3 linked regions of the Macaca mulatta genome follow. Each later gene encodes a partner of the first gene's protein in a complex. Links are inferred from orthologs where the notes say so. Each region holds a gene or a part of one and is shown on either strand. Other genes may lie near its edges.

Region 1 (3,500 bases):
GTGTGTGTGTGTGTGTGTGTGTGTGTGTCCCACCTAGGACAGAAAGGATTTAAGGAGATTTCCCAGAATACCTACATTACAAGATTATTTTTACATAGTGAGGAAATGCAATCAAAAGAAAGAATAGAAAGAGAGAGGGGCTCAAAACAGAGTGAAGTTAGTAAGATCATGTCCTGCTGTTGGGCTGTAATTTTATCCCTGAGCTCCTTACAGGCTATGCAACAAAAAAAGCAAAATCTGTTGTTCTTTCATGATTTCTAATATTAATCTATGAATCCCTTTAAAAAATACCACACTGGTCAATTTTGACTTAAGACATTATTATAATTATGGAACCCTTATACCTACAGGTATAAAATTTGGTATAAACACCCTGTGCATGTAGTTCTTATAATTAGCACACTTGGTTTGATTATTGCTTTATAACATATTACTCCAAAAAACTTAAGGATTCAAACAACCACCATTTTATTAATACCTCTCACGGCCCTGTGGCTTGATTAAACTGGATGGTTCTTCTGCTGGTAGTCACTGTTGGGTCTGTCACACTGTAGTGAGGTGGTAACTGGGGCTGGCACATCCAAGTTGCACTCACATTTCTGACACTATAGCAGAAATGCCTGCAAGGCCAGGACTTCTTTCTCTCTCTGTCCATGTGGATAACTTGGGCTTCTTTACAGCATGGTGGCTGACTCAAAGAGCAAATGTTCTAAGAGGACAAGCCAACAGTATGCAAGTGCTAATTGGGCCTCTGCTTGCATTGCATTTCCTAGTATCTTATTGTTCAAGCAAATCCCGTGGCCAAGTTCAGTGTCAGTGTGGGAGGGGACTACATAAGGGTTTGAATACTTTGTTGGGGCCCACCAGTGTTAATAGTCTACCTTCAAGCTTAATGTAAAACCTGTGAAATTTGAATTAGCAACGTTGTATACTGTGATGGAAGATGTTTATCTGAAATTTAAACAAGGTGTTGTGAGTTTATCTTAATACAGGTTCCATGTGCTGTGTGATCACTCAGCTCTCCCGCCATTTTCCTCATATTAAACAGCACTGAAACCTTCACACCTTTTTGGAATACACAGCATGAATACAGTATTTATAAAGTCCTCTCTGTGCTTTTCTTATTAGCCAGCAACCATGAAGATTCCACCATTTGTCATTCATTTGCCTCTAAACCCAATGTAGATGCAGACCCAGTAATTGACTGGCAGTGCTCAGTTATGGAGTACTCTGCCATTGGATCTAGGATATGCTTATTAATATTTAATATAGTCAAGCATGGTGGTGCATACCTACAGACCCAACTGCTCAGCATGCTAAGGCAGGAGGATGGTTTGAGCATAGGAGTTTGAATTTCGCCTGGGCAACATAGCGAGACCTCATCTCTAAAAATAAAATTACATAAACTAATAAGAGAAACACATCCTCTTGCAGTTCTCACACCACAGATGAAGCCCAGCAGAACACCCTATGTAGATGTTGAGAATCTGGTTCTGATGCTAGTCTTGTCACTTTGGGAGGGGAGGGACTTTGGCTTAAAATTTGACTTATCTTTTATGATGACATCTTACTTGTCTCCTCACCTCACAATATAGTTGAAGATGAAGCAAGGCGGTATTGTTAAAGGAGCTAATGAAAAGTGAAATTGCTTGTCTGGAGATCATAGTGCTAGAAATCTAACCAGGTTAGGGGCATCTGGGTCCAAGGTACGTGAGAGGAGGCATTTGTGATTCATCTGGTCTTTCCCCCTCCCTGTGCTCCTTTAGCGAGGAGAACACCCCACTGGACTTGGACGATCACGGCGGCAGAACCTTTCTCCGTGTCTTGCTCCACCTGACGATGCATGACTATCCACCCCTGGTGTCAGGGGCCCTGCAGCTCCTCTTCCGACACTTCAGCCAGAGGCAGGAGGTGCTCCAGGCCTTCAAACAGGTAGCTCAGGTCACCCACGTGTGTGTTGTCTGTCCAAGAAGCTGTTGTGTGCACCTAATGGATTGCATTCATTAAGGTTCAACTGCTGGTTACCAGCCAAGATGTGGACAACTACAAACAGATCAAACAAGACTTGGATCAACTGAGGTCCATCGTGGAAAAGTCAGAGCTTTGGGTGTACAAAGGGCAGGGCCCCGATGAAACCATGGATGGTGCATCTGGCGAAAATGGACATAAGAAAACGGAGGTGAGTGAAACACAGGTTAGGCTGCCAAAGTAGGTGGATGGGCTTCTCAAAACTAGCAAGCATCCTCCTCTGGTTTTAGGTATAAATGTGATAGAATGGGATTTATTTTCAAGAGATCTGCTTGTTAAGTCGCTAAGATCACAGCTGTTGGCCTAGGAAATAAGCTATGAATCAGAGTTTAGCTATGTCTCCTGTGCAGCCTCAGACTGTGTAGAAGAGACTTTGACGTTGAGTGAATTAGCACCAGGTTTCCCTTACAGACCCACTTGGGAATTGACCTGTTCTCTAGCCGTGGCCCAGCCCACTATCCCCTCCCAAGGAAACCCATAGCAAGTAGGTAGATGAGTGGGGCATAAACCCAGCATGACTATTGGAAAACAGTGCAGAACTCCCTTTCTTTCATAAAGATTGATGCTAGCTGTAACAAACTGACAGTAGCCCATGAGTCGTACAGATCACACTTGTGTTCACTTTGGTTCCTAGGAGGGAAATAACAAGTCACAAAAGCATGAAAGCACCAGCAGCTACAACTACAGAGTGGTCAAAGAGGTAAGCTCCTCCCCCACCACCGTATTTCCCTTCTTTATGAATTCTCTAAGGGGCTTTCATTTGTGATAGTCAAGTTGAAGGTACACACATTTGAGCTTTTTTCTTCGTGTGGTTTAACAGGGAGAAAGTAGAGCTCAGAGGTTAAGCTCATGGATTTCGGCATCAGATCTGGGCTCCACACCCAGCTGTGTTCTTCTTCTTATTTGTGTCCTCAGCTTCCTCACTGTTTATAGGTGCTACCTTTTATAGGCACCACATATTTCTGAAGCTTTACAATTGAAGGAAGGACTAATTGAGAAAACTGTCAGGGGTCATCTAAGTGCCTGGCACACAGCATCCCCACTGAGAGCTGTAGTTCTTTGGAAACCTTTGCTTAAGCTGGTTCAAAGTTGGGAGGCTGGGAGCTTTGTGTGTTTTACCCCAGAGCAAACTCTTCCCAGGGTCTCAGCAATGATGCCAGGTCATTCCATTTTAAGTGATATCTCTGAAACTGTCCCACTTGTTGTTGAAGCCATTATCCCCTGCTTATTCTGGAAGACGTGCCCTTAGCCTTATGGATTTGGCTTGATGGAATTAACAGAAATGCCACATACTGAAGGAATTTCGTTGTAGGTTTTTAATGCATTATTCCCTTTGCCTACCTGCCCACCACCACCCCCTGCAATCTGTTTTCCAGCTGTAGTTCCTAGTTTTCTGAGACTGATTTCTTTCTTTCTACTAGATTTTGATTCGGCTCAGCAAACTCTGTGTTCAGGAGAGTGCCTCGGTGAGA
Region 2 (4,221 bases), on another chromosome or scaffold:
TTTTGTTTTGTTGAGTTTTACATTTTGACATTCAGGTCTATGATCCACTTTGAATTAATTATGTTGTGTGCTGTGTGGAAGGGGATCGCATAATGTGGACATACAGTTGAATTTGTTAAAGACTATTCTTTCCCTATTTTATTGTCTTGACACCCTTGCTAAAAACCAATTGACCATAAATATAAAGGTTTATTTCTGGGTTTACAATTCTATTCTATTGATCCACATGTCGACACTTATGCCACTATCACATTGTTTTGTTTTTGTTTTTGAGAGGGAGTATCGCCCAGACTGGAGTGCAGTGGTGCAAGCTTGGCTCACTGCAACCTCTGTCACCCAGGTTCAAGTGGTTTTCCTGCCTCAGCCTCCCAAGTAGCTGGAATTACAGGCGCCCACCACCACACCCGGCTCATTTTTGTATTTTTAGTGGAGACGGGGTTTCGCCATGTTGGCCAGGCTGGTCTTGAACTCCTGGACTCAAGGGATCAGTCCACCTTGGCCTCCCAAAATGCTGGGATTACAGGCGTGACCCACCATGCCCTGCCTACCACATTGTTTTTGATAACTATAGCTTTGTGGTAAGTTTTGAAATCAGGAGGTGCGAGTCTTCCAACTTTGTTCTTTTTTTTTTTTTTTTCAAAATTGTTTTGGCTGTTCTCACTTCCCCACAATTTCATATGAATTTTAGAATCAGCTGTTAATTTCTGCAAAAAAGCCAGCTGGGATCCAAACAGGGATGGTGTTGAATCTGTAGATCAATTTGAGAATTACTGCTGTCTTCTGATCCATGAACATGGGATATCTACTTGTTTGATTCTTCTTTTTTTTTTTTTTTTTTTGAGATGGAGTCTCGCTCTGTCGCCCAGGCTGGAGTGCAGTGGCCGGATCTCAGCTCATGCAAGCTCCGCCTCCCGGGTTTACGCCATTCTCCTGCCTCAGCCTCCCGAGTAGCTGGAACTACAGGCGCCCGCCACCTCGCCCGGCTAGTTTTTTTTTGTATTTTTTAATAGAGACGGGGTTTCACCGTGTTAGCCAGGATGGTCTCGATCTCCTGACCTCGTGATCCGCCCGTCTCGGCCTCCCAAAGTGCTGGGATTACAGGCTTGAGCCACTGCGCCCGGCCTCTTTTATTGTTTTTTAGAGATGGGGTCTTACTCTGTCACCCAGGCTGGAGTGCAGTGATACAATCACAGCTCACTGCAGCCCAAAACTACTGAGCTCAAGTGATCCTCCTACCTCAGCCTCCCAAGTAGCTGCGACTACAGGCATATGCTACCATGCCCACCTAAGTTTTAAATTTTTTGTAAAGGTGGGGTATCACTGTGCTGTCCAGGCTGGTTTTAAACTTCTGGGTCAAGCAATCCTCCCACCTCAGCCTCTTAAAGTGCTGGGATTACAGGCATGGGTCACCATGCCCGGTATGGAATTATTTTTCTTAATTTCATTTTTGCATTATTTATGGCTAGTGTATAGAAATATATTTTTATATGTCAATCATGTGTCCTATAACTTGCTGAACTTGTTTATTAGTTCTAATAGTTTTTTATTAGATTACTTGGGATTTTCTATATACCAGATCATGTCATGTCCAAGTTGAGACAGTTTTATCTTTTCCTTTTCAATCTGGATGCCTTTTGTTTTTATTTTATTGTTTTCTTTTTACACATTTTTTAGAGACACAGTTACCCTGTATCAAGCGCATTGGCATGATCATGGCTCACTGTAGCCTTGACCTCCTGGGCTCAAGCGATCCTCCCACCTCACCTTCCCAAGTAGCTGAGACTACAGGTGCATGTCACCATGCCTGGCTAATTTTTTTTTTTTTTTTTTGAGATGGAGTCTCGCTCTGTCACCCAGGCTGGAGTGCAGTGGTGTGATCTCAGCTCACTGCAACCCCACCTCCCAGGTTCATGCCATTCTGCCTCAGCCTCCTGAGTAGCTGGGACTACAGGCGGCCACCACCGCACCCAGCTAATTTTTTGTATTTTTAGTAGAGACAGGGTTTCATTGTGTTGGCCAGGATGGTCTCAATCTCCTGACCTCGCGATCCGCCCGCCTCAGCCTCCCAAAGTGCTGGGATTACAGGCATGAGCCACTGCACCCAGCCAACGCTTGGCTAATTTTAAAACTTTTTGTAGACACAGAGTCTCGCTGTGTTGCCCAGGCTGGTATTGAACTCCTGACCTCAAGCAATCCTTCTGCTTCAGCCTCCCAAAATGCTGGGATTACAGGCAATAGCCACCACATCTGGGGCCTTTAATTTCTTTTTCTTACTTAAGTGCCCCTTCTGGAACCTCCAGGAAAATCCTGGACAGACATGGTGAATGGACATTCCTGTCTCGTTCATCTTTTTTTTTTTTTTTAATTAAGACGCAGCCTCACTCTTGTTGCCCAGGCTGGGGTGCAATGGCATGACCCTGGCTCACTGCAACCTCCATCTCCCCGGTTCAAGCAATTCTCTTGCCTCAGCCTCCTGAGTAGCTGGGATTACAGGTACCCACCACCACGCTAAGCTAATTTTCTGTATTTTCAGTAGAGACAGGGTTTCACCATGTTGGCCAAGCTGGTGTCAAACTCCTGACCTCAGGTGATCCACCCACTTTGGCCTCCCAAAGTGCTGGGATTACAGGTGTGAGCTACTACGCCCGGCCTTGTTCCTCATCTTAAGAGGGAAAAGCATCTAGTATTTCAACATTAAGTATGATATCAGCTGTGGGTTGTTTGTTTTTGAGACGGAGTCTTGCACTGTCGCCCAGGCTGGTATGCAGTGGTGCACAATCTCGGCTCACTGCAACCTCAGCCTCCCAGGTTCAAGTGATTCTCAGCCTCCGGAGTAGCTAGGATTACAGACACCCACCACCATGCCAATTTTTTTTTTTTTTTTTTTTTTTTTTTGGTATTTTTGTAGACACGGGGTTTCACTATGTTGGCTAGGCTGGTCTCGACCTCTTGACCTCGTGATCTGCCCACCTCAAATTCCCAAAGTGCTGGAGCTGTGGGTTTTTTATGATGCCCTTTCTCAGGCTGAGGAAGTTCCTTCACATTTCTAGTTTGATGAGTATTCTCATCAGAAAGTAGATTGGATTTCCCAGCACTTTGGGAGGCTGAGGCAGGCGGATTACTTGAGGTCAGGAGTTGAGACCAGCCTGGCCAACATGGCAAAACCTCATGTTTACTAAAAATCCAACAATTAGCAGAGCATGGTGGTTGGTACATGCCTGTAGTTCCAGCTACTTGGGAGGCTGGGCGAGGAGAATCATTTGAACCCAGGAGGCGGAGGTTGCAGTGAGCTGAGATCGTGCCACTGAACCTCAGCCTGCACAACAGAGGGAGACTCTGCCTCAAAAAAAAAAAGTATATCGGATTTTGTCAATGTTTTTCCGCTTGTATTGAGATAATCATGTGGTTTTTATCCTTTATTCTAATTCTAATGTAGTATATTAATTGATGTTCACATATTAAACTAACCTTGCATTTCTGGTATAAACTCCACTAGGTCATGGTGTGTAATTCTTTTTCCATGCTGTTGGATTTTATCTGCTAGTATTTTGTTGAGGAATTTTATGTCTATATTCATATGATATACTGACTGCTAGTAAAGAGGGAAAATGTGTGAAAATCAATAAATTTAAAAAATTAAAAAAGAAACATTAAACCGGGTGCAGCAGCTCACACCTGTAATCCCAGCACTCTGGGAGGCCAAGACAGATGGATCACTTGAGGTCAGAAGTTTGAAACCGGCCTGGCCGCCGGGCGCGGTGGCTCACGCCTGTAATCCCAGCACTTTGGGAGGCCGAGGCGGGCGGATCACAAGGTCAGGAGATCGAGACCATGGTGAAACCCCGTCTCTACTAAAAATACAAAAAATTAGCCGGGCGCGGTTGTGGGCGCCTGTAGTCCCAGCTACTCGGGAGGCTGAGGCAGGAGAATGGCGTGAACCCGGGAGGCGGAGCTTGCAGTGAGCCGAGATCGCGCCACTGCACTCTAGCCTGGGCTGGGCGACAGAGCGAGACTCCATCTCAAAAAAAAAAAAAAAAAAAAAAGAAAGTCAGAATCCACTGAATGTGTACCAACTCACCTGCTAAAAAACAAAACAAAACAAAAAAAACAAATTATTGGCCCTATCCCAGACCTATTGAATTGGAATCTGCTTTTTTTTTTTCCAGATGGTCTTGCTCTGTCGCCCCGGTTGGAGTGCAGTGGCGTGATCTAGGTTCACTG
Region 3 (4,087 bases), on another chromosome or scaffold:
GCTACGTTTAAGATGTAGTAAAGATGAAATATAAAGACACAAACACTTGTTGCCAGTAAGTCTGTGTAATCAAATTATTCATAGTGAAATACACTGAAATGCAAACAAGTCTTCTTTGGTTTGGCAGGTTTTCTTAACTCTTTGTGGAGCTACCTTGTACAACCATTCAAATAACATAAGATTTATTCATTTTGAATACAATGTACTTCTATTTTCCCTAAGAAAGGTACACTTTCTACTACTCAAGCCAATTTTTTTCTAGTTTTCTTTATGTAAGTGTGAAAAAAGAACAGATGTTTTTCCAAAATTATTTAAGCTTGGAAGGCATTCTATCATTTTCCTCAATAAAATACTTCAGAGTCACCCAAAGCATCATGGCAATATCTTAAGAGCTGAGTCCTTTAAAATACAAGTTATTAGTAAGAAATCAGTGTCAGGACACACAGCATTGTTTGATAGATAAAATTTGTAATATAATGGGACGCTGTAAATCATTTGCCACACCAGCTTTATTTTCCACTCTGGACCTTTTCTGTTTGTTAGTTTTTCAATCTAGTTATTCTACAAGCCATGTACAAAGAGGCTTTTAAACTTATCACATTGTATAGCTCATTCCCTACTGCCTAGAATCTTGTAAATCTCTGATGGAATGTTTAACTGGAGTTATCAGCTGGCTTGAACATGCTTCACTATGAAACCTATTAAAATGGTCTTTTTGTAAAAGCAGAGTTTGCTCTGTGTCACTCAAAAGTCCTGCAGATACGAAAATGAGATCCTATGGAATGTTTAAAGATGCAGAGAGCTGTCTTTGAGTTATTTTTTCATTATGCAAAACTTGGCCCAGGAGAGATGGTCCTGTACCTCGTTAGCTAAAACAGTCAGGCGTGTCAGGACTGCAAATTAATTTACCAGAGAAAGCTGAAGTTTATTCAGATCACTCAGGGTTCTAAGGCAGACCTAAGTCTGCTGAACTATTAGGGCAATTTGGTGAGGTCGGAATCTCAGAAATGTTTATCCTTATTGTCTCTTTCCACCTCCCTCGCAGAATACAAACTCCTCCCTAAACTAAGCCTGCATGAACAGCAAATGTTCCATGGGAATCAACATGTATAGGTATAACTCTAAGTTTTCAAAAGTAATAATTGGTACACACTGTGATTCCCCCCAAAAATATCCAATAAATACAAGTAGAGATAATCGAGTATCTACTTTCTCCTTATATTAACTTGTTGTGTTTATGAAGTGGAGGGTTTCGATGGACCTTGTATTATTATGTAACACGTGCCATCCAGCCAATGTGATGTCGTTAGTAGTAGAGTAAGCAGTAACATCCTTGGTTTTATCAATTATGTTATTATCTATTAATTTAAAATGCCGTTCTTTTGGGCGCTCTCCCACATTCTCTGTTAACCTCATGTTCCTGTAGCTTTACTCTCTATACTAACTCTGAGTTAAGTGTTGTATAACAAGTTTCATTAAATTTTTTCCATCCAAGTTATGAAGCCCACTAACATCAGGATTGCACAGTTCTCTCAAAGGCTAGAACAATGCCACAGTGGTTGCATTAGAAGCCAAGAGTAAGGCAAACAATGGGTCCCCGTTTTAAGCAAGATAAGTGTGCTTATCTGTATCTAACCCTGGAAACAAGCAACCACGTCTTGGGAGATGGAGATGCTCCATTAGTAACATTATGCACGTTCCTTAAGGAAAACAAGCAATCTTCTGCCTCATATGTTATGAAAAAATATTTCTTCAAAATCAACAGACTAGTTTTCCATTTATGGATTGTAAATGTCATCCAATTCAGGAAATCAAAAATTCTTCCTTTTTCTATGTGTATTTGCTTATGTTTCACACTTTGATGATGACAAGAACGTCAGGTTTGAAGGGTACCAGCGTGAAGCGCCAGCAGGTAGAGAAATCCGGGAGAGCCACAAAAGCATAGAAAGTATGGGTGATATCAGACGCATTTCATTTCAAGTCTGATGAGCCTGCATTTAGGATTTTCCAGCTGGGCTGGTTTGCCAGGGTTTTTGGGAGACAGGGGGGCTTTTTATTTCTTCTCTCACACTCACACACACGGTCGGACACACACCTGGGACGCATTCAAACTCTACGTACACTAGGTGGCTTATACGAATGTACATGTATATTTAAAAATAATACCTTGACATCTGACAAAGACACGAAGGCAACGTATGTGCAGTGAGTCTGGCTCTGAGAAACGTGCACAGCCCCGCAAGAAGTGCCCGTTAAAATGAAACATTTCTGAGGATGAGGACAGACATGGCAAGCGGGAGGGGCGGGGGCCGACAGACAATACAGAGACCCGAAGCTCCCCACCGCCAGGGCGCCACATGGACCCGGCGCGTCACCCCTGCTTACTGTGGGCTCTTGGGGTAGAAGGGCAGGGTCACATGGCTGAGATCCTGGATGTCGAAGGCGGTGGGCTCGGCGGAGATCGCCTGCCGCTTGGTGCGCGGCTCGCCCTGCAAGGTGCTCGCGCTCTGCTTCTGCGCCTGCTGGGTGGCTGGTCGGATCACCGAGCGGTACTTGTCCAGCTCGTTCTGCAGCTTCTGGATCAGTTCGTCCTTCTGATCCAACTCCAGCTCCAGCTCGTCGATGAGAGCATCCCGCTGCCTCAGCTCCTCGATCTTCTCCTGGAGCGCGTACTGTAAATCCCGCAAGGTGCCCATGCTCCTCCGGGCTGCCGGGGGCTCCTTCCTGCCGCTGCTCCGCGTAGTGGGGCTTCCTCCCCTCTCGGATCAACTTTCCCCAAAGTCGCCGCTGCCTCCCGAGTGCCAAAGCTTCCTACTTGAGACCAAAGCCAGCCCTGGCTTCTGAGCATGCCCAGTCCGCCGGCTTCAGCCACCCAGAGTTTCAGTGCAGATTCCACTTCTCTGGGCTGGCTGTGAGGCTCAGAGTGGGGAGAGCAAACCAGCAGGTCCAACCCGGGATTAAACCTGAGACGCGGTGGGCGCCGCGGCACCGGGTAGAAGAGCCGGGAGGCGCGGTGGCGGGGGAGCGGGAGGAGGGGACGTGAATGGGGGCTCCGAGGCAGCGGCTGGGCTCTCAGGGTCCCTCGCGCCGGGCGCCCAAGGAAGCTTGCGGGGCTTGCGGGGAGCCTGATAAGCCTCCGAGGCGCGCCGGGGGTGTGCGGGCGGAGCGAGGAGGGAGCTCTACTTCGGGGGTGGGGAGGTGGGAGGGAGGGGACAGGGAGGACCCCGGGCAAACTCCGGAGGCCTCAGCTGACTCCAGAGCCGACCAGCCTGGAGAATGTTGGGCTACGATCCTAGCGACGTACGAGGCATAGGGGACTCTGTATCATCAAAGCTCTGAGTTCTGGAGGTATTTTGACGGCCGGCCTCACTAAGGAAAGCTCCCGAGCGGTGTGGCCGAGCTGTCGCTTCTCCCACACCACCTTTCCCACCCGGAGCGCCTCACACAGGTGGCTAATGCTTGCGAAGAAACTTGCCTTTCAGGAGCTGCGAGCGAGTCGGCGCCCGCGAGGAATTTCCCCTTTCAGCCTACTACCTTTGGGAAAGCGTTGTGGGGTAGGGGGTGGGGGTTCTGATTTTATCCCCTCGAGGCGTTGCTACTCTTTACCTGCTCCAGATAGTTACTCTCCTTTCTGCCCCTTCCAAACTCTGATCAGGGAACTCTTTTAAGGCAAAGGCCAAAAACGGATTTGGGCCCTAGCAGGCCATTCAGCTTCCCCATGAGCCCTCCGCCTTGAGCTGGTGCCTGGGAATAGTTCTCTGATGGACCTTGCTTCTTCCATTGGCTAAATTTGGCGGGGAGAGGGTGGGGGTTAAAAATCATTCCCGAGCTCCAAAAAGTTCATCTTGAAACTGAACCATACCTTTAAAAATATTACTTTCCTCACAATCAAGCTGTTAGGAATGTGTATTTCCACTTGAATGGCCAGGAAGACATCCTGACACAAACTTTGAAGAAGAGGGAAAATCGTGAAGGAGCAAGGGAGACTACGCGGGCTGCAGTGAATTGTACACTATACTGCAGTCACCCCCACCTCTACGCACTCCCATCTCCATCCCTGCCCACTCAATATTCCCCAAAATGATCA

What was found. Proteins that work in one complex are often made in the same cells at the same time.
Region 2: ITPR1 (region 1) and CNN1 share a complex: the UniProt entries of both Homo sapiens proteins name them as parts of the cGMP kinase signaling complex. The link is inferred for Macaca mulatta from reciprocal best matches to the Homo sapiens genes ITPR1 and CNN1.
Region 3: ITPR1 (region 1) and PRKG1 share a complex: the UniProt entries of both Homo sapiens proteins name them as parts of the cGMP kinase signaling complex. The link is inferred for Macaca mulatta from reciprocal best matches to the Homo sapiens genes ITPR1 and PRKG1.

The regions. Positions count from the first base shown.
Region 1 is NC_133407.1:143,424,374-143,427,873, forward strand, and holds part of ITPR1 (inositol 1,4,5-trisphosphate-gated calcium channel ITPR1), read left to right. Parts: intron 1-1,770; coding exon 1,771-1,932; intron 1,933-2,008; coding exon 2,009-2,179; intron 2,180-2,662; coding exon 2,663-2,728; intron 2,729-3,449; coding exon 3,450-3,500. UniProt on the Homo sapiens protein: Inositol 1,4,5-trisphosphate-gated calcium channel that, upon inositol 1,4,5-trisphosphate binding, mediates calcium release from the endoplasmic reticulum (ER).
Region 2 is NC_133424.1:12,262,000-12,266,220, forward strand, and holds the start of CNN1 (calponin-1), read left to right. Parts: upstream 1-1,421; 5' UTR 1,422-1,689; exon of another isoform or gene 1,690-1,698; intron 1,699-4,221. UniProt on the Homo sapiens protein: Thin filament-associated protein that is implicated in the regulation and modulation of smooth muscle contraction. It is capable of binding to actin, calmodulin and tropomyosin. The interaction of calponin with actin inhibits the actomyosin Mg-ATPase activity.
Region 3 is NC_133414.1:98,704,092-98,708,178, forward strand, and holds the start of PRKG1 (cGMP-dependent protein kinase 1), read right to left. Parts: upstream 2,801-4,087; 5' UTR 2,697-2,800; coding exon 2,386-2,696; intron 1-2,385. UniProt on the Homo sapiens protein: Serine/threonine protein kinase that acts as a key mediator of the nitric oxide (NO)/cGMP signaling pathway. GMP binding activates PRKG1, which phosphorylates serines and threonines on many cellular proteins.